4 linked regions of the Xenopus tropicalis genome follow. The protein of the gene in region 4 interacts with the protein of the main gene of each other region in a biochemical or structural test. Links are inferred from orthologs where the notes say so. Each region holds a gene or a part of one and is shown on either strand. Other genes may lie near its edges.

Evidence for each region.
Region 1: the proteins of lrrk1 (region 4) and clvs1 form a complex in vitro, tested with the Homo sapiens proteins (2 studies listed by BioGRID and IntAct, with this or other methods). The link is inferred for Xenopus tropicalis from reciprocal best matches to the Homo sapiens genes LRRK1 and CLVS1.
Region 2: the proteins of lrrk1 (region 4) and fgfr2 form a complex in vitro, tested with the Homo sapiens proteins (2 studies listed by BioGRID and IntAct, with this or other methods). The link is inferred for Xenopus tropicalis from reciprocal best matches to the Homo sapiens genes LRRK1 and FGFR2.
Region 3: the proteins of lrrk1 (region 4) and cd2bp2 form a complex in vitro, tested with the Homo sapiens proteins (2 studies listed by BioGRID and IntAct, with this or other methods). The link is inferred for Xenopus tropicalis from reciprocal best matches to the Homo sapiens genes LRRK1 and CD2BP2.

What each region holds. Positions count from the first base shown.
Region 1 is NC_030682.2:117,380,117-117,386,492, forward strand, and holds the start of clvs1 (clavesin-1), read left to right. Parts: upstream 1-2,639; 5' UTR 2,640-2,766; intron 2,767-6,376.
Region 2 is NC_030683.2:19,256,887-19,263,349, forward strand, and holds the start of fgfr2 (fibroblast growth factor receptor 2 precursor), read left to right. Parts: upstream 1-2,726; 5' UTR 2,727-3,112; intron 3,113-6,463. UniProt on the Homo sapiens protein: Tyrosine-protein kinase that acts as a cell-surface receptor for fibroblast growth factors and plays an essential role in the regulation of cell proliferation, differentiation, migration and apoptosis, and in the regulation of embryonic development.
Region 3 is NC_030685.2:13,550,855-13,557,479, reverse strand, and holds the start of cd2bp2 (CD2 antigen cytoplasmic tail-binding protein 2), read left to right. Parts: upstream 1-2,888; 5' UTR 2,889-2,937; intron 2,938-2,953; exon of another isoform or gene 2,954-3,034; intron 3,035-4,067; 5' UTR 4,068-4,068; coding exon 4,069-4,137; intron 4,138-4,282; coding exon 4,283-4,421; intron 4,422-5,450; coding exon 5,451-5,608; intron 5,609-6,286; coding exon 6,287-6,625. UniProt on the Homo sapiens protein: Involved in pre-mRNA splicing as component of the U5 snRNP complex that is involved in spliceosome assembly.
Region 4 is NC_030679.2:115,752,340-115,758,227, reverse strand, and holds part of lrrk1 (leucine-rich repeat serine/threonine-protein kinase 1), read right to left. Parts: intron 5,261-5,888; coding exon 5,066-5,260; intron 4,847-5,065; coding exon 4,695-4,846; intron 4,161-4,694; coding exon 4,043-4,160; intron 3,625-4,042; coding exon 3,511-3,624; intron 2,693-3,510; coding exon 1,848-2,692; intron 1-1,847.

The DNA of each region.
Region 1 (6,376 bases), on a different chromosome or scaffold from region 4:
ACTGATACAAAATGTACTTTCTTCCAAACCTTCCGTCTTAAACATAAAACTCTGCCTGGGACTATTGTTTTTCTATGAGTTTCTTGTATTGTTCTCACTGCCATCTGTCATGCCCTGGCAGCGTGTGTTTCCCAGACAGATCCTGTTAACACATTTAACCTTTACTTGTAAAACAAAATGTCAGTTCACTAATCGCAAAACACTATTTTGCACCTTTTTTTGCCCATTTGAATTAAAAGTACTTAAACCATGAACAATGTGCATACATATTATTGTGTGTTTTACTCCGGGTGTCTCTTTGTGCTGGTCATTTATTTCTTATATGGTTTCTTATATGGTTATTATTTATTTAAACTCTGCATGCAACTGAGTGAAATCTGGGTATATAATTGTACTGTATGTGTATGTGATAATAAAGCAATAGAAATAAATGTCTCTTTGTGCTGGTCATTTATTTCTTCTATATTTTCTAATATGGTTATTATTACAATGTGGCTTTTAAAGGAAAAGGTGCTGTCCATTTGTATATATATATATATATATATATATATATATATATACACAGGTATGGGATCCCTTATCCGGAAACCCGTTATCCGAAAGCTCCGAATTACAGAAAGCCTGTCTCCCATTGACTCCATTTTAATCAAATTATTCAGAATTTTAAATCTGGTTTTCTTTTTTCCTTTAATAATAAAACAGTACCTTGTACTTGATCCCAACTAAGATATGATGAATCCTTATTGGAGGCAGAACAATCCTATTGGGTTTAATTAATGTTTTATTGATTTTTTAGTAGAAATAAGGTATGAAAATCCAAATTACGGAAAGACCCCTTATCCGGAATACTATTGGTCCCGAGTATTCGGGATAACAGGTCCTATACCTGTATATATATATATAGCAAAAATGGAAGAATGCCGCACTCACAGGGCTTAGTGTAGAAAAAAAGAGTAGTTTATTCAAACAAAAACCTAACGTTTCGGCTGGAACCTCAGCCTTTCTCAAAGTGAACATACACGCAAGAAACCCCCTGATAAGCAGAATGTGGCGCCAAAATTAGACTAATGACGTCACTCTGTTGCAGGCCAGCACCCACCCCCCCAAACTACCAGTGTACACAAAACGGCAAATGTGAATATAAAGATAAGTATAATACAGGCAATAGAGTCAGCAATCCCTGAAACAAAATCAAGAAAAGGCACATAGAGAGGAAAAGAGTATATTGACAAAAATACAAGTGCATAAAGAATGGAGGAAATACAGGATTCATGACAAAAGGGAAAGGGTGACACATACGCTGAACTATAGCTCTCACACAGTAATGCGCAACACCTAAAAAGGATAATCAAAAGAGCACACGACTGTCACAAGTGTCAGTATAGAAAAAGGCTGTTATTTATACTGACACTTGCGACAGTCGTGTGCTCTTTTGATTATCCTTTTTAGGTGTTGCGCATTACTGTGTGAGAGCTATAGTTCAGCGCACAGTGAATAAAAAGAAGATATTCATGTGACCTGGTGTGCTGGTCCTTCTTATAGGTGTGTGTATATATATATATATATATATATATATATTCATGGAAAGTCGAACCGCTTCACACAGGACTTATAATCAGAAAAAAAATATTTTTGTTTTTTTTTTGCCTTAATAAATATTTTTGCTGATTATAAGTCCTGTGTGAAGCGGTTCGACTTTCCATGAATATCTATGCCTCTATTTTTGGACTGTACCCAGGCGATGGATCTCTCTTTTTTCGTAAGTGCCTATCCGTGTGGTGTTTGTATATATATATATATATATATATATATATATATATATATATATAACAAGAATTATATATATATACAGGTATCGGACCCCTTATCCGGAAACCCGTTATCCAGAAAGCTCCGAATTATGGAAAGCCCGTCTCCCATAGACTCCATTTTAATCAAATAATTCCGAATTTTAAACCTGATTTCCTTTTTCTCTGTAGTTATAAAACAGTACCTTGTAGTTAAGCCCAACTAAGATATAATTAATCCTCATTGGAGGCAAAACAATCCTATTGGGTTTATTTAATGTTTTATTGATTTTTTAGTAGACTTAAGGTATGGAGATCCAAATTACGGAAAGACCCCTTATCCGGAATACCCTTGGTCCCGAGCATTCTGGATAACGGGTCCTATACCTGTACACAAAAACAAGAAGTCCTCTGCAATCACCCATTATCAATATATATAGGACATTAACACATTCTTAATCTACTAAGTAAAATTTCTTTTACCTAGAATAATACACTCATAAGAATGTAAGCTCTTCAGGGCAGGGTTCACCCTCCAGTTGTTTCATGTCCAAGTTACAACATGAAAAAACAAATCTCACCCTACAAACCATAATAACTAACAGCATTGCTGTGTGCATCTGTATTTACTCATTGTACTCCCCTGCACTGGCGACTTGTGGAAATTAGCTGCATATTAAACAAATGGTGACGTTTGTAATAATCCGTGGCACCCAGGGAACAGCTGGCTTAAACCTCTGCTACACCCCACAGCAAGCAGACCAATCAGGGTAGTGAGGTGGGGTTTACATTTTAAGCAGTATTCAAGACAGTTTCTGCTCGGAAGACCCTTTCACTGCCTTTTTTTTCTTTTTCTTTAGAAAACGCCTCCTGGCCATTCCACCTCTCCCACAGAGCCCAATGCTGCACGCCAGAGCTTCTGCTGAAGCAGACAGATCTGCTAATGCTAGGAAAGATGAAAGCATTTAATGTGTAACAGGTACGTGATCCTTACTGAATGTCATTTGGACATATGTGTGCATTATCCCTGGGGTGCAGGAGCTGCAGCATTTCAGCACTCTAGCGCACGGACAGCTCCCATCTGCATTGGCTCCACTGGCTCCATCAGCTGCCGGGCTCTCAGCAATGTGCCGCATGTTGTAGCCCACACAGGGCTGTACCAAAGGGAGGCAGAATAGCAGGTGCATGGAGAGAGTTAAGCAAAGGGATATATTTGGATATATATTTAACTAAGTGGAGTTGTGTGTGCAAAATATACAGTATCATATCCTGCTGGAGCTGGTATGTAGCGCAATCACCAAATGATATGCTATGAAACCTTACTGCTTGTGTTATGCATCTCTGTTATGTATCTCTCTCTCTCTCTCTCAAACAGTTGATAGCAATAGTGATTTGAGACCAGGAAATCGAAACGGGGGCCCCAGCTCTGGTGCAGCTCCCAGCATTATTGCTGTTGAAGGGATTCTGGGAGCTTTAGTTCACAGCACCTGGAGGGCAGCAGTTTTCTCTCCCTAGGCTAGTTGCCTGGTGGTAGCGATATCTTCCAGTTGCAAATGTAATCATGGTGTGCATATATGGATACCTTAGGATATCTGCACACTGCTACCAAATGCAAATGTATATTCCAGACAAAGAAATGGTTTTCTTTACTGAAAAAAAGCTAAAAAGCAAATATAATATTCTTACTCTTCCAGTTATGCACTGTCATTGGCTGAATATCATTCCTAGTTCTTTAAAAGTCTCTGTAAGGAGGAATTAAACAGGCAACAGCCATTGCCTTTTACAGAATCTTATTGTAAATAGGAGAGTGTCGGCACAGGGATCATTTAAGCAAGGCTTTATTCTTCAGGGGACAAATAGCAAAACCTCAACACAAAGACACACCTACCCGGATAAACTGCTGGAGAATTACACATGGCAGAGAGAACAATACAAGAACCTTATAGTATAATATATATAATATAATACAGGTATGGGATCCGTTATCTGGAAACCCGTTATCCAGAAAGCTCCGAATTATGGAAAGCTCATCTCCCATAGACTCCATTTTAATCAAATGATTCAGAATTTTAAAACTGATTTCCTTTTTCTCTATAATAATAAAACAGTGCCTTGTAATTGATCCCAACTAAGATATAATTAATCCTTATTGGATGCAAAACAATTCTATTGGGTTTAATTAATGTTTTATAGATTTTTTAGTAGATATGGAGATCCAAATTACGGAAAGACCCCTTATCCAGAATACCCTTGGTCCCGAGCATTCTGGATAATGGGTTCTATACCTGTATATATATATATATATTAGTCTCTGGCAGAGTTTTATTTTTAAGACAGATGGTTTGGAAGAAAGTATATCTTATTTTGCTTCAGCTTTATCCAAGCAACAGCCATTTATTTATCATTAAACTACAATTCCCAGCATTCCTAGATAGCTAGGAAGTGTACTTCAACAATGATGGAGAGATGCAGGTTGGTAAATGTGGTGTATTTATGGTGACCTGTCCCTAATGTCATCTATGTATTTTGATCTAAAACAAAACAATACATAGAATTAGCAAGATAAATAGATTAACCACATCACAGTTGCACATAGTAAGATTTTGTGATTTGGAGAGGCCATTTTGAAACATTATGTTATTGGAGCCCATTTCACAAATTAATACACAAACAATATGAGGGTGCAGCTGACTGAACTAAATCGCCCCACTGCTGTTGGGAAAGGTATCAGCTCAGGGATACAGTGTTACCTTGCTTACACCAAATGAGTTGGGACTGAAACTTAGTTGGACATATATAATAGGGTACCGAGACTCAATTGTTTTGGGCCCTCAGGTTGTATTTACTTGCTAAGCACTATGGCTATTGTTAAGTACAGGGCTACCACACAGTTGGCACTTTCTAAGTAAAGCTCAGACCAGTAATGTAGCCCACAATATTGTCATGTATAAACAAAGTTACAGTGTGCGTTACAGATTCGCAAAGCTACAAATTACCATATCTCTAGAGTACAATGGGAAAATATGGCAATTTGGAGTAATTTGGAGTAAACAGATGCAGTTTTTTGGCAAGATCAGTCCATACTACATAAAGGGGTTGTAAACTGACATATAAAATTACGCATGAGGAAAGCTAATTTAATTCTTAGCATCTTTCAAATCTACTGAACATTTGTTTGTAAATTCACTTAACATTCAAAGCAGTATTGGTCAGTCCCTTTCTGTTCGATCCAACCAAGACTCCTGTTACCATACTTTTGACTTTTTGATTAAAGCCCTATTCATTGAACATATGTTGAAAAGGGGGTTTACTACCCCTTTGTAATGTTGTATACTGTTGCCATTTAGTCAATAAATACAAATTTCATGGCTTTGAGATGCACTTGTAGATCTGCAAACTTTCCCAGCCATTTGTATTAAATTGCATCTGGATTTAACCCAAGTATAGAGGATGTTAATTCCAATCATATGACAGATAAGTCACTCCTCTCTGCAATGAATTCTGCTGTTTTGGATTATATTAGCTTTGCCAAAGGAAATACTGCCTGGAAAAGAGACCTTCAGATCCAAAAAACTTAGAGCATCTTCTTAATTATCAGACATTATGGGCATCCCACTCTGTTCCATATGCCATTTAATTGCTAAAGTACTATCCGCCCATCTCTAAAGGACAAAAACAGCATCTTTTCCAGCACAGTAAATATAGATTGATTGTGCGCCGATTGTGTCTTTTTCTGCTGCAAGGCCATTTGTTTTCCAAGAAACAATCTATTTGGCAGATTGTTCATTGACATTTAGAGCTCATAGCAAATACTATTATACATTGCATTTATTGCATTATTAATCAGCTCAACCTTTACTGTGAAAATGTTGCAACTGGAGTGTTATTTCCAGTTCTGTGCACTTTCTCTGTATTACCTTTCATCAAGCAAAAGCACGATGGGCTATATCCTCATTACTTAATGTGTTCATAAACAGTACACATACCTCATTTCCAACAAGGCAAAAAGAATATTGTCATTTGTGATATAACAGATTGTTAGGCGGCTGCTATTTGTATGGAGCTTTGCTTATGTCTAATATTTCACCAAAAGGAACTCTGTTTAAGTATACGAACAGACCAAACTAATACTAAAGGTACCACCAGAAAACATGTTGGGGATACTGGTGCCTTAATATTAGGACTTTAGTAATCACATGAAGCATATTCTAGGCAATATATATTATATATACAGTAAAAACTCAATTTTAATTCCCCTGATTTTAAGTTTTCCTGCATTTTACACCATTGTTTTGTAACCCCACTAATATATAACACATTTTCCCAGATTTTGCACCATTTGTTTCTGGTCCCCTGAAAAACTTAAAATGGGGGTAATCATATATTATATATAATATAATTATTATAATTATAATAATACCTAACATATTACAGTGTTGATATTTGCAGGCTGTGGTATGTAGGCAGCATTCACAACATAAAAAACTTGCACCCTGTTTTTAAATAGAGCACCAAGACATATGTCTTTGCATCATTTTTCACTCAGCTATGTGGACCAGCTTGTGTATTTGGTATAATAAAGGATGGAC
Region 2 (6,463 bases), on a different chromosome or scaffold from region 4:
GTCATATGTCATACTCAAAGTTACACTGAAAGTGAGCTACCAAATAGTACACGGTCTTGCCTACCTGCATTTATGTGATGGCTAACTGCGCTTTTCTGCATAAAGTACAAAGTGCAGGGAACACGGATGCCGAGGAGTAATGGAATAAAGCGTTTGCTCAGAGACCCACAGAGCTAATAATCACCCGGGCAGGAGAATGTCCACCATTGTGCCGCAATGCGTTTCATATAACAGTGTGACCACTGTGACAGAAGGCTGGTCTATAAGGAGGGAAGGAATCCCTGCCATAAAGCAAGGCCCAACTAAAGGAGACATCACCAGCCGATTCCAATACACATTTTAATAATATGTATCATTATTTATCCAGCAATACTTTACTTTACTAAACATCTCTTCCTGTGATTGGCTGGTGGGATAATAGGATAATGGGATAATCGCGACAGATCTGGCGTGGAGCAGGAACGGACTATGTGTCCCTCCGAAATGACTTGGTTGGGTCCCAAGATAAATAAATGCTATGGCAACTCCCCTTCCTGCCTCTGTTTATTATTAGTCAATTGGGGCAGTCTGGGCCACTTACCCTTCTCTTCCAAATGTTACAAACAGTTCCACCTTTTCTCTGCTGCGGCACCGAAGCCTCCAGTTTCAGGGCATTATGTCCCATAGCCTCAGAGCTGAAATGCACTCTTACCCAAATGACTATCCTTTGTGTATATAGAACCGACATATTCACAGATCTAGAGCTTACAATCTAATGTATGTATAACGGACATATTCACAGATCTAGAGCTTACAATCTAATGTACGTATAACTGACATATTCACAGATCTAGAGCTTACAATCTAATGTACGTATAACTGACATATTCACAGATCAAGAGCTTACAATCTAATGTATGTATAACGGACATATTCACAGATCAAGAGCTTACAATCTAATGTACGTATAACGGACATATTCACAGATCTGGAGCTTACAATCTAATGTATGTATAACTTTCACATACGCTATGGTCATTTTTATCTAGAAAAACTCCACGTCAGCACAGGGAAAACATACAAACTCCATGCAGGTAATAACCTGGTACCACCATGATGCCCGTGTAATCTTGATGCCAACTAATAAATGGGGCTTATGGCGCATGTGTTTTTTTGGACTTAGTGTTTGTCTTGTGTCCATCATGCTCTGCTGTGCCTACTAACTGCCAACTCTTCCTACCTGTACCTGCTGCTCCTTGTGACCCCCACTATGTAAGGGACAGTGTCTGGGAGTCAAAATAGGCCCTGGTATTTCATGTACAGAGAAGCCCAAACAGCCCCCCACTAGCCCAATAAATAGTGAGTGTCTATGGCATCTTACAGCAGCCCCTCTGGCATTTGCCAGAACCCACAGATTGCCAGTCCGGGCCTGAGTGTCACTATTTATATAGATTGTAAGCTCTACGGGGCAGGGACCTCCTTCCTCTTGTATCCTCGACTCTCAACTTATTGCTGCTGTATTTATCTGTATTTATTATTATACTTTGTATTTATCTATTATCTTATTAACACCCTGTTTGTATTAATCTATTCTACTGTACAGCGCTGCGTACATAAGTAGCGTTTTATAAATAAAGATATACATACATACACACATATTTGTACCCTTTCAAGACACAAATTATCTGTACAGTAGAACTTTCCAGCCTTCCTTTGACAATGACTGTATTTTAGATTGTAAGTTCTTTGGTGCAGAGGCTTACTCTTACTTTATATAGCTGGCATTTGCCAGGACCCACAGATTGCCAGTCGGGGCCCGAGTGTCCCTATTTGTACCTTTTCAAGACACTAATCATCTATACAGCAGAACTTTCCAGCCTCCCTTCGACAGTGACAGGATTTTAGATTGTAAGTTCTTTGGTACAGAGGCTTACTTTATATAGCTGGCATTTGCAGAATCCACAGATTGCCAGTCTGAGCCTGAGTGCTGCAATCTGTACCCTTTCAAAGCACTTTTTACCAATCACCTATTCAGTAGAACCTATAGAACCTTCCAGCCTCCCTATAGCAGTGACAGTTACAGGATTGTAAGCTCTTTGGCACAGAGGTTTATTTTCTACTTTGTATAGCTGAATATAATTAGTAGCGCCATAAAAATATTACTTATAATATATTTATAATTAGGCAGTAGAAGATTATTTTTCTCTTGTTAACATTGCCAACCCTATTGCCCAATGGCGATGCAAGTACACAGTATGACATCACTAAAATACTGTGACCTCACCGGTGATCTTAATTTTTTTTTTGTTTGTTTAATGATGAGGGGGGTATGAAGAGAAGATAAATATTAGGAGAAGGAGATGGAAAATGGGAGAGAAAGAGAGCGCACATAGCATAGTAATTCCAATACAAACAAACCTTCCCCAGTCTGTGCAGTGATGTATGCCAAAGTGTGGGGCAGGCACAGGGGGAGGGCCAGCAGGGCTTGGGGAAGGGAGACTGGGCCAGGGGAGAGGAGCTGCTCCAGCATTGGATGAAGGGAGGGATGAAGGCTCAGGTTCCAGACAGAGGGGAGTGACTCAGGGAGGAGGAAGGGGCTGGGAGTGAGGATGAGGAGTGAGGGGGAGGGAGGGAAAAGTCACACAGACTTTCCATTGCCCCTCACACACGGGATCTACACTGGGTTGCACCTCTCACACATCCACTTTTGGGAACTTTCCCTACCTATTACCTTATTGTTTGTGGCTGCACTGCTGCCTGGAAGGGCTTGGCTTGCCTGGATAGCACTTACCGGGATTCCTATGCACTGAACCTTGCGGGATTCATCACTGTGGGACTATCAGGGGATTGGTGATTCACTCAGAGAGAAAAGAAATCACAGAGAACTTACTCATTCACCCTGCAAAGGGGATTCTGCCTGTTCCCCTCTTTGGAACCTCACTGGCTTTGGCTGCTGCTGGTTACCGGGCTCTGAGTCGGGATCGGGACTCGCTCACCCTGCGCTCGGAGGGATACGTATTTCTCATTGGCTGAAACGGGACTTGGGAATCTGTCCCCTGGGACACACGGAGTCTTGCCAGGCACACGCCTGATGCAGGGCTGAGGGGATTTTCTTACACCGCCATCTCTCCAGGTAATGCCAACAAACCCGCAACGTTGTAACTCTAGGAGGGGCTTCTCAGCCTAATAGAACTGGGGTACAGACCCCCACAGGGGATATACCTGTGTCATGTCATTGGTTAAACTTGTCTAAAACTCCTTGCTTTAATCAGGTAATGAGGAAATCGCTGTGCGTAATTGGAAGCGCAATGCGTTAAATTCGCTTTGCCGCACAAAACCGCTGCAGGGTGATGTTTGTTGCATATTTTACTTTATGGTCTTTATTTATGGGAGCAATGCATGATAATGTGGGTTGGTGTTTTAGAACATTTAAAACAGCTTTAGATCGTTATGAATTTTGAAAAACATGGACTTTTGCCCAGCTTGTATTTATTGCTGAAGTGAATGGTACTCAAGTGCCTACAAGAAATTGGGTTTAAATATTAAAGCTTTCTGGCATGTTTGGCCACTATGAGGCGCTATATTATTGGAGTGAGTGGATAATATTTAATTTTACCCCTGCCATGCAAGCTGTGTGGTAGCTCCCAGGATTGATGTTGGAAAGTTGTTGTAGAAGGCGCTATGTCTATGTGTTATTATAATTGTTATAGACAAATGGGATCAAAGCAATCATATTTCCCAAACTAAGAAAAGCTGGTAATTAATGGTCAAACTTGGGTGATAATGGTCAGCCATTGGGCAGCCTACAAGTGAGCGGCTTTTGACTGCCCAAAGCCTGTTGCAGTTGAACAACACCTTGTGTCTCAACCCTTTCTCCTTGTAGATTGTAAGCTCTTTTGGGCAGGGCTCTCTTCACCTCCTGTATCGGTTATTGATTGCTTTATATGTTACTCTGTATGTCCAATGTATGGAACCCACTTATTGTTCAGCGCTGCGGAATATGTTGGCGCTTTATAAATAAATGTGAATAATATGGAGGGCCACTGCGGCCTGCATTATGGTATGCAACAAAGCATGCTTTGCCCCAAGTAGGTTTATGAATGTAACATATAAACATAGGCCCTTGGTCATGACCAGACAGTCTAAATGCCACTCTCACTATTATCTGATGCTTATAGCTTACTGGGGAATTCTGGGAGTTCCAGATCAGCTGGAGGGCTGCAGGCTGGACAAACAACATTGCAGAATGTGGATTTGCTTTTACAGGTTACAATGTTATACCCGTGGGTACCCCTTGTGCAGTAGGGGAGTGCGACTCCTGATTGCTCCTAAATGCTCGCTAAACAATAGGGTCTTTCTTTGTACAGTTATGTATCACAATGGGCACGAATGCTGGAACCCACCGGGTCTGATGGACCGGTTGCTATGTATATGCATAGAGCAGAGCCACAAGCCACATTTACATTTCCACTGTGTACATACGTAGGGCTGGACAAGTAAAGGGTCATGGAACCAATGCAGGATCCATTGCGTGCCTTTGCCCTAGGGTTTGACAGGACTGTTTAGGTGCTAAGATGCTCGAGGGGCCCAGTACAAGGGGCACGGACAGTCTGAGTAGTAGTGTGTATGTACCCTCGCTATGTCTGTGTTTGCATTCATGTACTAACGCTATCTTGTAAAGACTGTTTTATGTAAAATGTCCTGGGGGCAATAATGCACCCCCAGGTCCTCATATTTTGGATATTTGCATGAATATTTTACATGTTCTCCTCCTGCTGAGCCTAATATTGCCTGCCCCACAGCAGCCCCTTCGGCTTTTAATTCTCTTTATTTGTCCTCCTTTATTTTCTACGCAAAACTCGGCAACATCAGGGTTGGGGGGGGTGCTTCCTACAGGTTAAACGAACTGCCGATCCATTAATGACAGGTTTATAGTCTGCATCGGGCAAGGAAGAAAGGGGCTAGGATTCTACCCGTGAGAGAGGCCTGTTAGGTGTTTAGCACCCACACAGCGGGCAAAGCCACAGACGCATTACAGGCCCCTGAACGCAGCCCAACAAAAGCTTCACATTTTGGAAAATTCAGGTTTTCTTTATCATTATAAAAAAAATCCTTGCAAAACATTCCTTTGTCCCACCGGCCGTGAATTCCTAACCCAGTCAGCGTGGTATCTGGTGTTAATCAAGGAACTGACTTGAAGGCTGTTTGTAAAGGGGGAAAAAATCCATCTATAATGTAAAGGTTCCAGGGGCTGCATGTAAAATCCCTGTGTGCCAACTGCTCTTGGGACTGTGCGTTGGTGTTTGCATTTTGTTGTGAAGCTCCATTGTACCTTGGTGTCGGAGCTTGGTCTAAAAAGATAACAACCCTTTTACAAATCTCCGTACTGGATGTGTTAAGTGTGAAAAAGTGCATTGTGGAGCCCTCATTAAATGTACATTGTGTGCTGGAATCTGGGGTGCATACAATGGGGGAATCCGTGGCCAAGAGGGAGGCTGAATTCCTTGGCTTTATATGAGAGTGTACATGGTGCCCCCGCTCATTGTGCGGGTTTAATGGGGGTTGCACTAAAGCCCCTTGATAAGTAGGGATTGAGGCACGGTCTCCCCTTCTGTGGAATCTCAATTAAAATGCAGATTAGGGCTATTTTCTGATCTTGGCCAAACCTTTAGATAATAGAAATCTATGGTGGAGTGCTGGGGGAGGAAGCCAAAAACTTCTTGGAAAGAAATGAGAAATTCTATATGGGATTTAAATGCACAAATAAGAGCGCCAGCACTGTGCCTTCCAGGGATTTAGCAGGTTTCAGGGGTGCAGGGGTTAAACCCTCTTACATTGCGTTATTTGGAGTCGCCGCATTAGGGAAGAGAAAGTCCGGGGCAAGGTGTTGTTTCCATGAAAGGGATGTGCTTATAATAGGAATGGGTGCTATAGAGAGTGGCTTGTTAGAGCTGAAAAGAGATTATACCAAGTGTCATTATTCAGAGGGGGAGACTGTTGTGTAACAAGACTTAAATCATTTGTAAAGCAGGGGCCCTTTCATTCCCGCATTCTTTCCCAAAGAGCTGAAATGACATTTTGTTTTGCGGGAGGAAAAAAGTCACTTATGGATCTTTCTTAATGTGTCAACGCATTTCACAGTTTTGCAGGGTTTGGGACACAGATATGAACATGTGTGTTGGGGGGTTTCCTGAACATTTAAAAACTTGAGATTTTGTAGGTTTTACAGGAAAAACAGGATTGTCAGGTGCAACTTCGGAGGTTTCACTATTTATTGGAATAGAGCCCGTATTTCTGCCTCGGCATGGACGTGTGTACCACTTTGTCTTCTGCGCTGGTGTTAGCATTGCTTACTGCTCTCTGTAGGGATCCCTAGCAGGGGCTGCCCTCAATCCTGGGAAAGGGGGGCTGCAAAAATGCAACATTTGTGTAGGTCGAGTTTGTGAAATATCCGTGACATACCATACATTTTTTTATTGACCTT
Region 3 (6,625 bases), on a different chromosome or scaffold from region 4:
TTGTAGAGTGTAAGCTCTTTTGGGCAGGGCCCTCTTCCCCTCCTGTATCGGTTATTGATTGCTTTACAGTGGTGTGAAAAACTATTTGCCCCCTTCCTGATTTCTTATTCTTTTGCATGTTTGTCACACTTAAATGTTTCTGCTCATCAAAAACCGTTAACTATTAGTCAAAGATAACATAATTGAACACAAAATGCAGTTTTTAAATGAAGGTTTACGTTATTAAGGGAGAAAAAAAACTCCAAATCTACATGGCCCTGTGTGAAAAAGTGATTGCCCCCCTTGTTAAAAAATAACTTAACTGTGGTTTATCAATTTCAATTTTCAATTTCAATATCAATTTCTGTAGTCACCCCCAGGCCTGATTACTGCCACACCTGTTTCAATCAAGAAATCACTTAAATAGGAGGTACCTGACACAGAGAAGTAGACCAAAAGCACCTCAAAAGCTAGACATCATGCCAAGATCCAAAGAAATTCAGGAACAAATGAGAACAAAAGTAATTGAGATCTATCAGTCTGGTAAAGGTTATAAAGCCATTTCTAAAGCTTTGGGACTCCAGCGAACCACAGTGAGAGCCATTATCCACAAATGGCAAAAACATGGAACAGTGGTGAACCTTCCCAGGAGTGGCCGGCCGACCAAAATTACCCCAAGAGCGCAGAGACAACTAATCCGAGAGGCCACAAAAGACCCCAGGACAACATCTAAAGAACTGCAGGCCTCACTTGCCTCAATTAAGGTCAGTGTTCACGACTCCACCATAAGAAAGAGACTGGGTAAAAACGGCCTGCATGGCAGATTTCCAAGGCGCAAACCACTTTTAAGCAAAAAGAACATTATGGCTCGTCTCAATTTTGCTAAAAAACATCTCAATGATTGCCAAGATCAATATCTTGTGGACAGACGAGACAAAAGTTGAACTTTTTGGAAGGTGCGTGTCCCGTTACATCTGGCGTAAAAGTAACACAGCATTTCAGAAAAAGAACATCATACCAACAGTAAAATATGGTGGTGGTAGTGTGATGGTCTGGGGTTGTTTTGCTTCTTCAGGACCTGGAAGGCTTGCTGTGATAGATGGAACCATGAATTCTACTGTCTACCAAAAAATCCTGAAGGAGAATGTCCGGCCATCTGTTCGTCAACTCAAGCTGAAGCGATCTTGGGTGCTGCAGCAGGACAATGACCCAAAACACACCAGCAAATCCACCTCTGAATGGCTGAAGAAAAACAAAATGAAGACTTTGGAGTGGCCTAGTCAAAGTCCTGACCTGAATCCTATTGAGATGTTGTGGCATGACCTTAAAAAGGCGGTTCATGCTAGAAAACCCTCAAATAAAGCTGAATTACAACAATTCTGCAAAGATGAGTGGGCCAAAATTCCTCCAGAGCGCTGTAAAAGACTCGTTGCAAGTTATCGCAAACGCTTGATTGCAGTTATTGCTGCTAAGGGTGGCCCAACCAGTTATTAGGTTCAGGGGGCAATTACTTTTTCACACAGGGCCATGGAGGTTTGGATTTTTTTTCTCCCTAAATAATAAAAACCCTCATTTAAAAACTGCATTTTGTGTTTACTTGTGTTATCTTTGACTAATAGTTAAATGTGTTTGATGATCAGAAACATATTGTGTGACAAACATGCAAAAGAATAAGAAATCAGGAAGGGGGCAAATAGTTTTTCACACCACTGTATATGTTACTCCTTGTAGATTGTAAGCTCTTTTGGGCAGGGCTCCCTTCCCCTCCTGTATTGGTTATTGATTGCTTTATATGTTACTCCTTGTAGAGTGTAAGCTCTTTTGGGCAGGGCTCCCTTCACCTCTTGTATCGGTTATTGATTGCTTTATATGTTACTCCTTGTAGAGTGTAAGCTCTTTTGGGCAGGGCCCTCTTCCCCTCCTGTATTGGTTATTGATTGCTTTATATGTTACTCCTTGTAGAGTGTAAGCTCTTTTGGGCAGGGCTCCCTTCCCCTCTTGTATCGGTTATTGATTGCTTTATATGTTACTCCTTGTAGATTGTAAGCTCTTTTGGGCAGGGCTCTCTTCCCCTCTTGTATCGGTTGATTGCTTTATATGTTACTCCTTGTAGATTGTAAGCTCTTTTGGGCAGGGCCCTCTTCCCCTCCTGTATCGGTTACTGATTGCTTTATATGTTACTCCTTGTAGATTGTAAGCTCTTTTGGGCAGGGCCCTCTTCCCCTCCTGTATCGGTTACTGATTGCTTTATATGTTACTCCTTGTAGATTGTAAGCTCTTTTGGGCAGGGCTCCCTTCCCCTCCTGTATCGGTTACTGATTGCTTTATATGTTACTCTGTATGCCCAATGTATGAAACCCACTTATTGTACAGCGCTGCGGGATATGTTGGCGCTTTATAAATAAATGTTAATAATAATAATAAATAACAAATGTAATAAGTAAATTTAGTCAAATGGGAGTGGTATTTAGGGGGTGTGGTTGCACGCAGCGTTTATTTTTGTCCCTGTTTTCAGTTTCAAAATGTTGGGAGGTATGTAACCATGTCTGATTCATTGATAAAAGCGACCAACAATGTATTTACTTTCTCTCCTGGGGCCCTTCCATTCCTGGCTAAATGACCTCTCTCTGGTTATAAAACCTATAACTATCAGGAAAAAGCCCTGTAACCCAATCCCATTTTAATAACCAGTGGCAATAAATGACAATTATTTTTTAATGTTATTACTGGTGCTTTAACTTAAATTGTGCATTAATAAGTCAGTGGGATGCACCAGTGACAACTACAAGTCCCAGCATCCCCTGCAAGACGACTACTTTGTGACCTGCAGCAGCTATACAGTCATATTTCAAAGCGATACAACTTCATTTGCCCTACTTCCGGTTTGACTTCATCACTTCCTGCGCGTCATCCGGCTGCGACACCCGCGTCTCGACGAGTGCTTCCGAAAAACGAAAGGTTTGTTGGATACTTACCGAGCTGCGCTAGAACTAAGGGGATCTGGGAACTTGTGAGGCCTTTAAAGTTGCAAAACACCGGCCCTTATTTACGGCAGGTCGGCCCTGGGGGCGGGGCCTGTTTGATACGAATCCCCTCTCCGTTATTTATGTTATAAACAGGGTTATACTGAGGAACCTGCAGGGATCTCTCTTCCCCTCATGTTTCCTCACACCGAGCGGTTTTCTTGCATTTTCCTGGTTTTAGACTTTCCCCCCCTTTATTTTGTATACAAGTTCCCTTCTACTCACAGGGTCTCTTAACCCAATAAGGGGTAATTATATCTTAGTTGGGATCAAGTACAGGTACTGTTTTATTATTACAGAGAAAAGGGAATCATTTAACCATGACATAAACCCAATAGGGCTGTTCTGCCCCAATAAGGGGTAATTATATCTTAGTTGGGATCAAGTACAGGTACTGTTTTATTATTACAGAGAAAAGGGAATCATTTAACCATTAAATAAACCCAATAGGGCTGTTCTGCCCCAATAAGGGGTAATTATATCTTAGTTGGGATCAAGTACAGGTACTGTTTTATTATTACAGAGAAAAAGGAATCATTTAACCATGAAATAAACCCAATAGGGCTGTTCTGCCCCCAATAAGGGGTAATTATATCTTAGTTGGGATCAAGTACAGGTACTGTTTTATTATTACAGAGAAAAGGGAATCATTTAACCATTAAATAAACCCAATAGGGCTGTTCTGCCCCCAATAAGGGGTAATTATATCTTAGTTGGGATCAAGTACAGGTACTGTTTTATTATTACAGAGAAAAGGGAATCATTTAACCATTAAATAAACCCAATAGGATTGTTCTGTTCTAATGGGTTTCCAGATAAGAGGTCCAATACCTGTAGTCTTTCATAGGGATGCACCGACTCCACTGTTTTGGGATTCAGTTGAACCCTGAATTCTTTTGTGAAAGATTCGCTGAATCCTGGTACAAAGGGGCTAAAGAGAACTCCTCCTTTCCGCTATCATGCGATGAAAAGTCATGTGACTTTAGGGATTCGGTTTGGCCAGGCACTGGCCAAATCCTGTATTTAATGCATCCCTATTAATAGTGCCTGTTGCCTTTTCTATAGGATGTCTAAAAGGAAGGTCACATTTGTGGATGGGGCTGAAGACGACGATGATGAGCAGAAAAAAAAAAGGGTAAGTTAAGAAGCAGAGCCGAATTGCACCATGTCGCTTTTCTTTTTCCAAACTGATCCCAGTAACCTTTATAAAGACGCCATTATATAGACGGTCTGCATTAGCCAATGTGCATGTCTGACACGGTCTCACCCCTTTATTGAAGCTCCCGGATGTAGTGGGAGGCCCAGGAAGTCGATTTAAAGGGAAACATTCTCTGGACAGCGATGAGGAAGATGATGAGGAAGAAACCAGTGATGGACGTTCTGCAAAGTATGACATATTAGCCCCCGAGGATGTTGAAGGTGAGATTCCATAGCAGGGTGCCCGCTTTGTGCCTCTTGTAGTATTATAAACCCCTTTACAAGAAACAAGCGGACGCATAATATAAGGATGTTTGGGAGAGGGTAGCTAAAGATACCTGGTACTGAAACATCCTATGCATAAGTTGCCCCCAGGCCACCCTAGTGTATTGGTACCCACAGTAATGATGAGGGAGTGAGCTGCAGGAGCAGTGCTGCTTGCTTTGCTTATGCTGAGCTGGAGGCAGGCCAGTAATTCCATAGGCTGAACTGCAATTTTAAACTCTACTGCAACCTATCAAAAGATGGCACTTCCTCCAGCTCAGCATAACTTGGGCACAATGGGCTCTCCACTCCCAGTCACCTAAAGTCATATCAGGGTGTCTGCTGCAGTAAGTACCCATCAGCTGGGGGTGGCTTGGGGCAGTCATCTACAAAAGAAGATCATGGCCATTTTGCGGACTACTTCATACTGGATATTATAGTAAAGTCTTTGTACAGGCTATGAGCAAAGCAAATGTTATGCTGACAGATACCATAAAACTATGGCAGCATAGGGATTCCCCTGTACTAAGCACAATTCAGCAGGAACAGCCCCCTAAGTTTGCTCATAGCCTGTACAGAGAGATACCATAAAACTATGGCAGCATAGGGATTCCCCTGTACTAAGCACAATTCAGCAGGAACAGCCCCCTAAGTTTGCTCATAGCCTGTACAGAGAGATGCCATAAAACTATGGCAGCATAGGGATTCCCCTGTACTAAGCACAATTCAGCAGGAACAGCCCCCTAAGTTTGCTCATAGCCTGTACAGAGAGATGCCATAAAACTATGGCAGCATAGGGATTCCCCTGTACTAAGCACAATTCAGCAGGAACAGCCCCCTAAGTTTGCTCATAGCCAGTACAGAGAGATACCATAAAACTATAGCAGCATAGGGATTCCCCTGTACTAAGCACAATTCAGCAGGAACAGCCCCTTAAATTTGACTTAAATTTGTCTTAAATTTGTCTTTGCTCTTCTTCCTCTGCAGGACAAGAAAACGCTACTCTGGAGTCGGAGGGTGGTGTTCCGATTACTCCTTTTAACCTGAAGGAGGAAATGGAGGAAGGGCATTTTGACTCTGAGGGCAACTATTTTTTGCGTAAAGAAGCTCAGATTCGGGACCACTGGCTTGATAATATAGACTGGGTGAGTGAATATGAATTGGGAGAACATGAAACGTAATAGCAGAATTTGAGTCCCTTCAGGTGGAACAGGGTGATTACAATCCAAGAATCAAGTTGGGCACTGTATGAACACAGTCACATTAGATGCCTCTTGGAATGCACTGAACCCAGTATTCAGTTTGGGATTCAGGCAAGATTCTGCAGAATCTGTAAAATCACATGAACACAGAAGTAAAAAATTAAGCGCGCGCTTCATTTAACTGTTCCGTAGCTTAATTTGCACATGCAAATAAGGATTCAGTTCAGTATTTGGCCAAATCATTTACAGAGACTTTTGGGGTTCGACTGAACCCAAAATAGTGGATTCGGTGCATCCCTAGATGCTTCCCAACTTTTTAGATTTAAGGCTGTCGCTTCTCTTCATGACGCCCTAAGCATCCCGTCATGTTCAGATCTGTTCTTGCACCCCACCAGTGGCATTGGCCAAGGGAAACTGGCACCTCTTCATGTGATTGGCCAGACAGGATAGGAGGAGGATGCTGGGGCAGTCAGGATGAGAAGAGATCATTGTATATTGTAGGGGAAGAAGCACTTTAAGATGAAAGCAGCACACATGGACCCTTCTGCTTATACCTAAACATGTGCGCCCGTGACCAATGGCACCCAGTAACCAGCAGTAACCCCTATCCTCTTGCCCTAGGTCCGAGTTAAGGAACGCACTGCACCCACAGAAACCGCTGATGATGATGACTCTGATTCTGAGGAAGGCAGAGCACCACTGAGCAAGAAAGTGCTACTGGAGGGAATCTTGCAGCTGCTTCAGCCTGGCGAGACTGTGGCTAAAGGAATCCAGCGTCTTGGAGGGACAGGAGGCAAAAAGGCAACTGGGGGCCAGAGAGCAAGGCAGCAGAAGACCCCCCAAGGCAGGAGAAAGAAGAGAGGGACTAAGTCTGACGGAGACAGAGAGCAGGAAGATAATACAGATTCTAAAATGGATGAGGGTAAAGGTGAAACGGATTCAAGGCAAGAGAGAAAGGAT
Region 4 (5,888 bases):
TTTTGTTCTTTTTGGCTACGTGACTGGGGGAAAAATGCTTACTTTCACTAATTAACTTTCCTCTTGGAGACATGGAGAAGTGGTTTAAATTGTCTTGGGATGTTGCAATTTCCTTAACTCAGAGAGTCAATAAAGCTTTTCCTTATAGCGACTCCACATGAGTCAGAGGCATGAGGTCCAGTTACTGAGTGGAGTAACTGCAGAAACCTCTGCACGTGTTGCTAATCCCTTCTGGAGAATCATGTGTTTATGGGAGCAAAAAAAAAGTTTAAACAGAAAGAAATATGTTTGAATTGACCTCAGCCTGGATCTTCACTAGTCTGGTTTGCCGACACCCTAAAGAGGGCTAAAAGTGAACTATACACAAACTCATGACAACACACTAAATACTTCAGCAAAAACTTAGTAACAAAAATATCTAAGAACAGGAGGCTTTGTGCCAATGAGCAAACCTGAGTGTGGGACAGGAACACATATAGTCTCTATACAGTGCAAGTCATGTAAAGCTGCTTGGCTTACTCGATGTCCCAAACAAAGAATTTGTGCTAATTTCTTTCATATTTAAAAAAAGAAAAAAAATTAATAAATCATATGGGAACACGTGGTTTTTAACCCAGAAATATGATCAGCTTATCCTCAAGTTCTTTCACTAACATGTAATACGCCAGTCACTCCTGATTCCCAGCCCCAGGCCTTCCTTCTCCTGCTTTTACAAGTTTCGCTGAACATGGAGCCTCTGCCTGGACACACGACAAGCCTTTGTTGACAGTACTTTTAATGCCATGCTGTGAGCCATTCACAGCTTACAAGATGGAGCCTACTACCTATGACGTAGTTCAACGACTGCCGTTTCCTAAGTAATTCACATTTCTAGCAGGAAAAGTTGGAATGCAGGGTACAGGTACAAATAAACCATGCCATGGAGAACAGAAGCTTAAAAGCTTTGCTGTCGAGTGGCACATGTACCTGTGTGTTTTGCCATTTCATTGAATTCATAGTTTCTTTTCTACAGTACCTGCCTGTAAATACTAATAAAGAGGAAAGTGCTGCATGATGTGCATGGAGATAATGTAGGTCTCAGCCACTCCCCACTCTGGCTAAAGGTGGCCATGCACGGTAATATACTTGCTTGGTAAGGTTGCCAAACAAGCCACCTTGGGTGGGCGATATTGTGCTAATGCAATTGTTTGGCCTAGGATCACATTACAATGGCCCTAGATCACGTAACAATGACGGGGGCACGAGACGTCAGAGCGAGGACTGCATCAATGAGCCCAATGCGGTCCTCAATCCAACAGAAAAATCAAGCCTGCCTGATGAACATCTGCCTGAATTTTGGCCAGATATCGGTCAGGGAGGCCTGTTGGAGGGCCCCATAAATAGGAAGAAAAGTTGCAGACACCATCTTTGTGCAGACAACTTTGTGCAAGCATACCAGTTCTGATAGCCGCTACTGTGGACGCAAACAGTTGACTGCATATATGTTACACATAGTCATTAGCACAACTACAAAACTGCAAGCGGAAAGAGCTGATAGCCACATCAACTGCATGAGAACAAAAACTGTTGCCGTTGGTTGCCAAACTGTAGAGCTGACCACAACCCGAGGTTGGGAGAGATAAAAGCAACAGCTGTGGGGCATGGGATTAAGGCCAAATAGTTTTAGTGTTATTTTCTATCCTATTTTTCCAAACATTAGTATTGTGACTGTTACAAATACCTCTAACCATTTCAGCAGCTTTGGGCAGGTATTTTAGAAGCTGTAATCAAGATTCAACACCAGAACTCTGACAAGTCACTACAATGATTTGTATATGTGGCTGTGGTGTTTTGAAATGCATTCTTACCTCGGAACCCAGAGCAAATCTTTGACGACTACAATCCCAACAGCCTGCACATTGAGTTTTTCCTCCTCTGAAAGAGGTGTTCTGCCCCCCCAGCTCTCACTAGAAATTTTGTGTATAAGTTCTTGGGCTGGGTCTGGATCCTCACTATCTGTGGAAAATGGGGCACTACTGTAGCTGACCGGAGTGCTTGGCAAACTGGAGGAGGACTTAGCAGTCCCCTGAGGAATGGAAGAATAGAAGGATGACACAGAGCAATAATCGGTAAGAGAGTCTTGGTGGCTGAGAACTTGCATACCACGTTCTAGGCTGTAGATGATGCTGACGTTTGCTGAGCGGGGGCTATTACAGTTTGTAACTGGCAATGCAACAGGAACCACATCTGAACAAGGCTTTACTGTAAACATATCCCTTAGAGGACTGCTATCACCACAGAAGTATCGGGCACAGAGTTGGTAGGCTGCAGCATTATACATGACCAGAAAATTGGTCATATCATCCAATAACCAAACAGTCTCCTCTCTGTTAGTGTCTGTGCTTGTAACCATGGAGATGATGGATGATGGTGCACTAAAGGGTTCCAGTCTTTTTGAAATCTCAAGAGAGGTACAGTCCACTACAAGGACACCAGGTCCATTGCCATACCAGACCTCAGAACATTTATTGCAGATCTCCATGGCCAACACTGGGTGAGGTTTCTGACGTGGGTCATCATCTGTTATCTTGAACATGGAGCGATTAGCTGTGCGGGAACAGATGTAGGAGCAATCACTGCCTGGGATGCCACCACTTACTGGGAACACTGAAATCAGGCTGTCTGAAAGGCCAGCAAATACCAGGCAGTTCCCCTGAATAAAAGAAATATGGTTAATGAACAGTTATTTTTAATCAGCTTGTACTTGAAAAAGAATATAAAATGTCTTAAGAACTAAAATGGAAGAAACATAAAATAAAGATAAGTAGAAAGTAATAGTAGTGTCCATTCTAAAGATGACTATTAAGTCACCAGGATGATACTGGGGTCAGGTTTACCAGTAACCTATATACTTAATCATCGATGCAGGATGAGACCTGAGGTTGAATCAATCTTTTCCGCTTTGCAATTAGTTAACTGCACAGGGAACTCATTTGGGCTTGTCTGATGAAGACTACAGCCTACATATAACACCGTGGAAATATGAGCCAATGATTTGGGCTAGACTACTTTGTAGCCTCTTGGAATGGGCCACATGCACCTGCCCTAAAAAGGCCCCATTATAATCTGCCGCTTGATATTTTGACAATGCAGCAAGGATTGCCATATGTCTTGGATCTCACTATTTATAGATCTAAAACTACTTTATAATTATATATTATAAATATCTCTTAGATCTCTGTACCCCATCAGTACTGTTACACAAGGGGTTTCCAGAATCTGGAATCAGAATACCAGCATAGCATTCTTATTCTGATATTTTGTCTATTTGCAAATTTTTTACTTACTTCTTCTTACTTACTATGTATATTACTCACTTATATATTACTGTTGGACCTGCATCCAGGGGCGATTCTCACCCTGGAGCTGCCCTGAGGCTGTGATGCCACCCCCCAGCGCTTACCTTTCCTGTGCCGGAGGGGGGGCTGCATCTCTCAAATACTACAACATAGCTGCATTGGCTGTCCTCACCTTTTCCATATTCGCTACAAGGAAGCAGGTCACAATGGCAGGGGTGTCTATCACCTTTAGTGCGACACTTAGGGGGCACATGCCCTGCAGACTAAAGATAGATATCTTCTGATCCTGCAGATAAAGATTACATCATGTACTGGGTAAAGTAGATAATTTTCAATTACTTATAATGACAACAATCTGGTTAATCTCATGTAAAATAGGTTCCAAACACACTTTGTTGTATTTTAAACAAAACTGCTTCTTCCTATACAGAGTATCTAATCGTTTCTTGGCATATAAAAAAATATATAAAATAGAACTGTGTCCAGTTACGATGCTTAAACTCCTACATGCTTGGCTTGTACATTGCATTTTCCCACAGAAAACCAGAGATAGGTTACATCAATCTGTTTGTCCTTCCATTGTCACAATAATGTTAAGGCATTTCAAGAATGGGGGCAATAAGACAGTAGTACCATTGTATGGTTGCACAGAATAAATAAGGCACTCTCGTGTACATTAGTCCTAAATAGGTTTCCCTTCCTACCTCTGTTGCAATCCAAAGTGTATTCTGTACCCTTTGCTGGCAAGACATTCTCATCCCGGGGCAGCTCAGAGTCTGCACTTCCACCTGCCCTTTCTCAACATCAACCACGGTATAATTCCTGAAAGAGAGGAGCAAGCTAGTGTCACCAAGCAGAATATTGCAGCTGCAAATTCTTACATGGGGTTTAATGTTCTGTAAGCCAGGTATTCTTAGTTAAATATGAATATTAATGGTGGTAGAAGGTAGAAGATTGGCAAAAAAAAGTGTCAGTCAAACTTCCCAAGATATCAGGCTATTTTTTGTGTGCAAATATTTAAAGCTGGAAATGTATATGACACAGAGTATCTGAAGAAGGACAGAGACTTTAAACACTTTGTGTTTTTGTTTGTAAGAGAAATATTAAGAACATGTTACCATTTAACCTTAAAGTCACTAAAAGTTGTGACCTAGCATAATATGATTTTTGTATGGGATGGTAAGCCAAGCAGTGCCACAGAAATAAAAAATCATAGGATTTCTCTGTATAGAGAACTATAAACACTGTGCCAACATAGATACCGTTCCGTACAAAGTACAAATTATGCAAGATATGTGAAGGCCCTTCAATCACACTGAGAATTTTAGACTAGCAAACAAGCACTGGTGTACATACCTTGATGTCCCTGTTCCTACCCAGAATACAACTGTGCTCTCTGGTTCTCTGGATGAGCAGAATGATTCCTGTATCCCACAAGACAACTGGTACTTAAAAACTGTGAAGCTGGGGTCATTCATACGATGGACAACTGATGAAGCTAAAGGCCGCTATTTTGAATAGAGAATGAAACAGAGTTCACAAAGCAGCCTGAGTTGTTGCTCTTGATTTACATGAATGGAATACTTTCAGTTATAAGAACAGACCAGAGGTTACAACTGATAATGACTTAATGTGTCAGTGAGGCTGTATTCAGAAAACAAATACTACAAGTGAAACATGCACTCAGTAAATACTAAGGCAAATATTGCTGGCTTGTGGAATTGTACCTTTTCAGGCTTCGTGTCCCAACATTCCATCATCAGGTCCTGCAGATGATGGAAGTGAACTTCCTCTGGGCGTCCAAGAACTGGACGAATCCCCTTGGACAGTTTCTTGGAAATCTGCAGCTGGTGCTGGCCCAAAGATGGTCTCTGGCCTGACAATAGCTCATACAGGACCATACCATATGAAAACATATCCACCTACCAGAAAAGAAAAAAAATGGAAGCACTCAACATGGTATAGGCATAATAAGCAGCAGAAGCAAGAAACATTGTGGAGAGGCCACAAAGGCCCGGGCCTAGGGCGGCACAAATTTGGGGGCGGCATGCCGCCCCGCCGCACCACAATCTTAAGCTTTTTCATCCATATGGAGCAGTGGGGACCTCTCCCCCACTGCTCCATTTGCAAATGTTTACACCCTGCATGCACGTTGGGGAGGGGGCGGTGCCGATTGCACGTTCACGCATGCGCATGGGGGGGGTGTGCTGATCGTGCACATGCGTGGAGGGCGACGGACAGGGGCGGCAGGATTACAAATCCGGCCCTGCCTACGGCAGAGACTGAAATAAGCCAGACTGAGCCAATGTTTCATGGTAGGATAAAAAGGCTTGCATTAATATAGGAGAGGAGGAAGGGCTCTCAGCCCTTTAAGCTAGCTACAGTGATATTTGTAAAGAATTCCTTTTTGCTTTTTTAGATATACCTGAAAGCCCAGCTTGAAGCTAAATTAGGGCTAAAACTATGGCTGAATAGTTAAAAAGTCCAAACTGTAACCCTGTCATGAACTAAGGTGGTCCCTGATAAGAGGTTGAACCTCTGTGGGGCTCT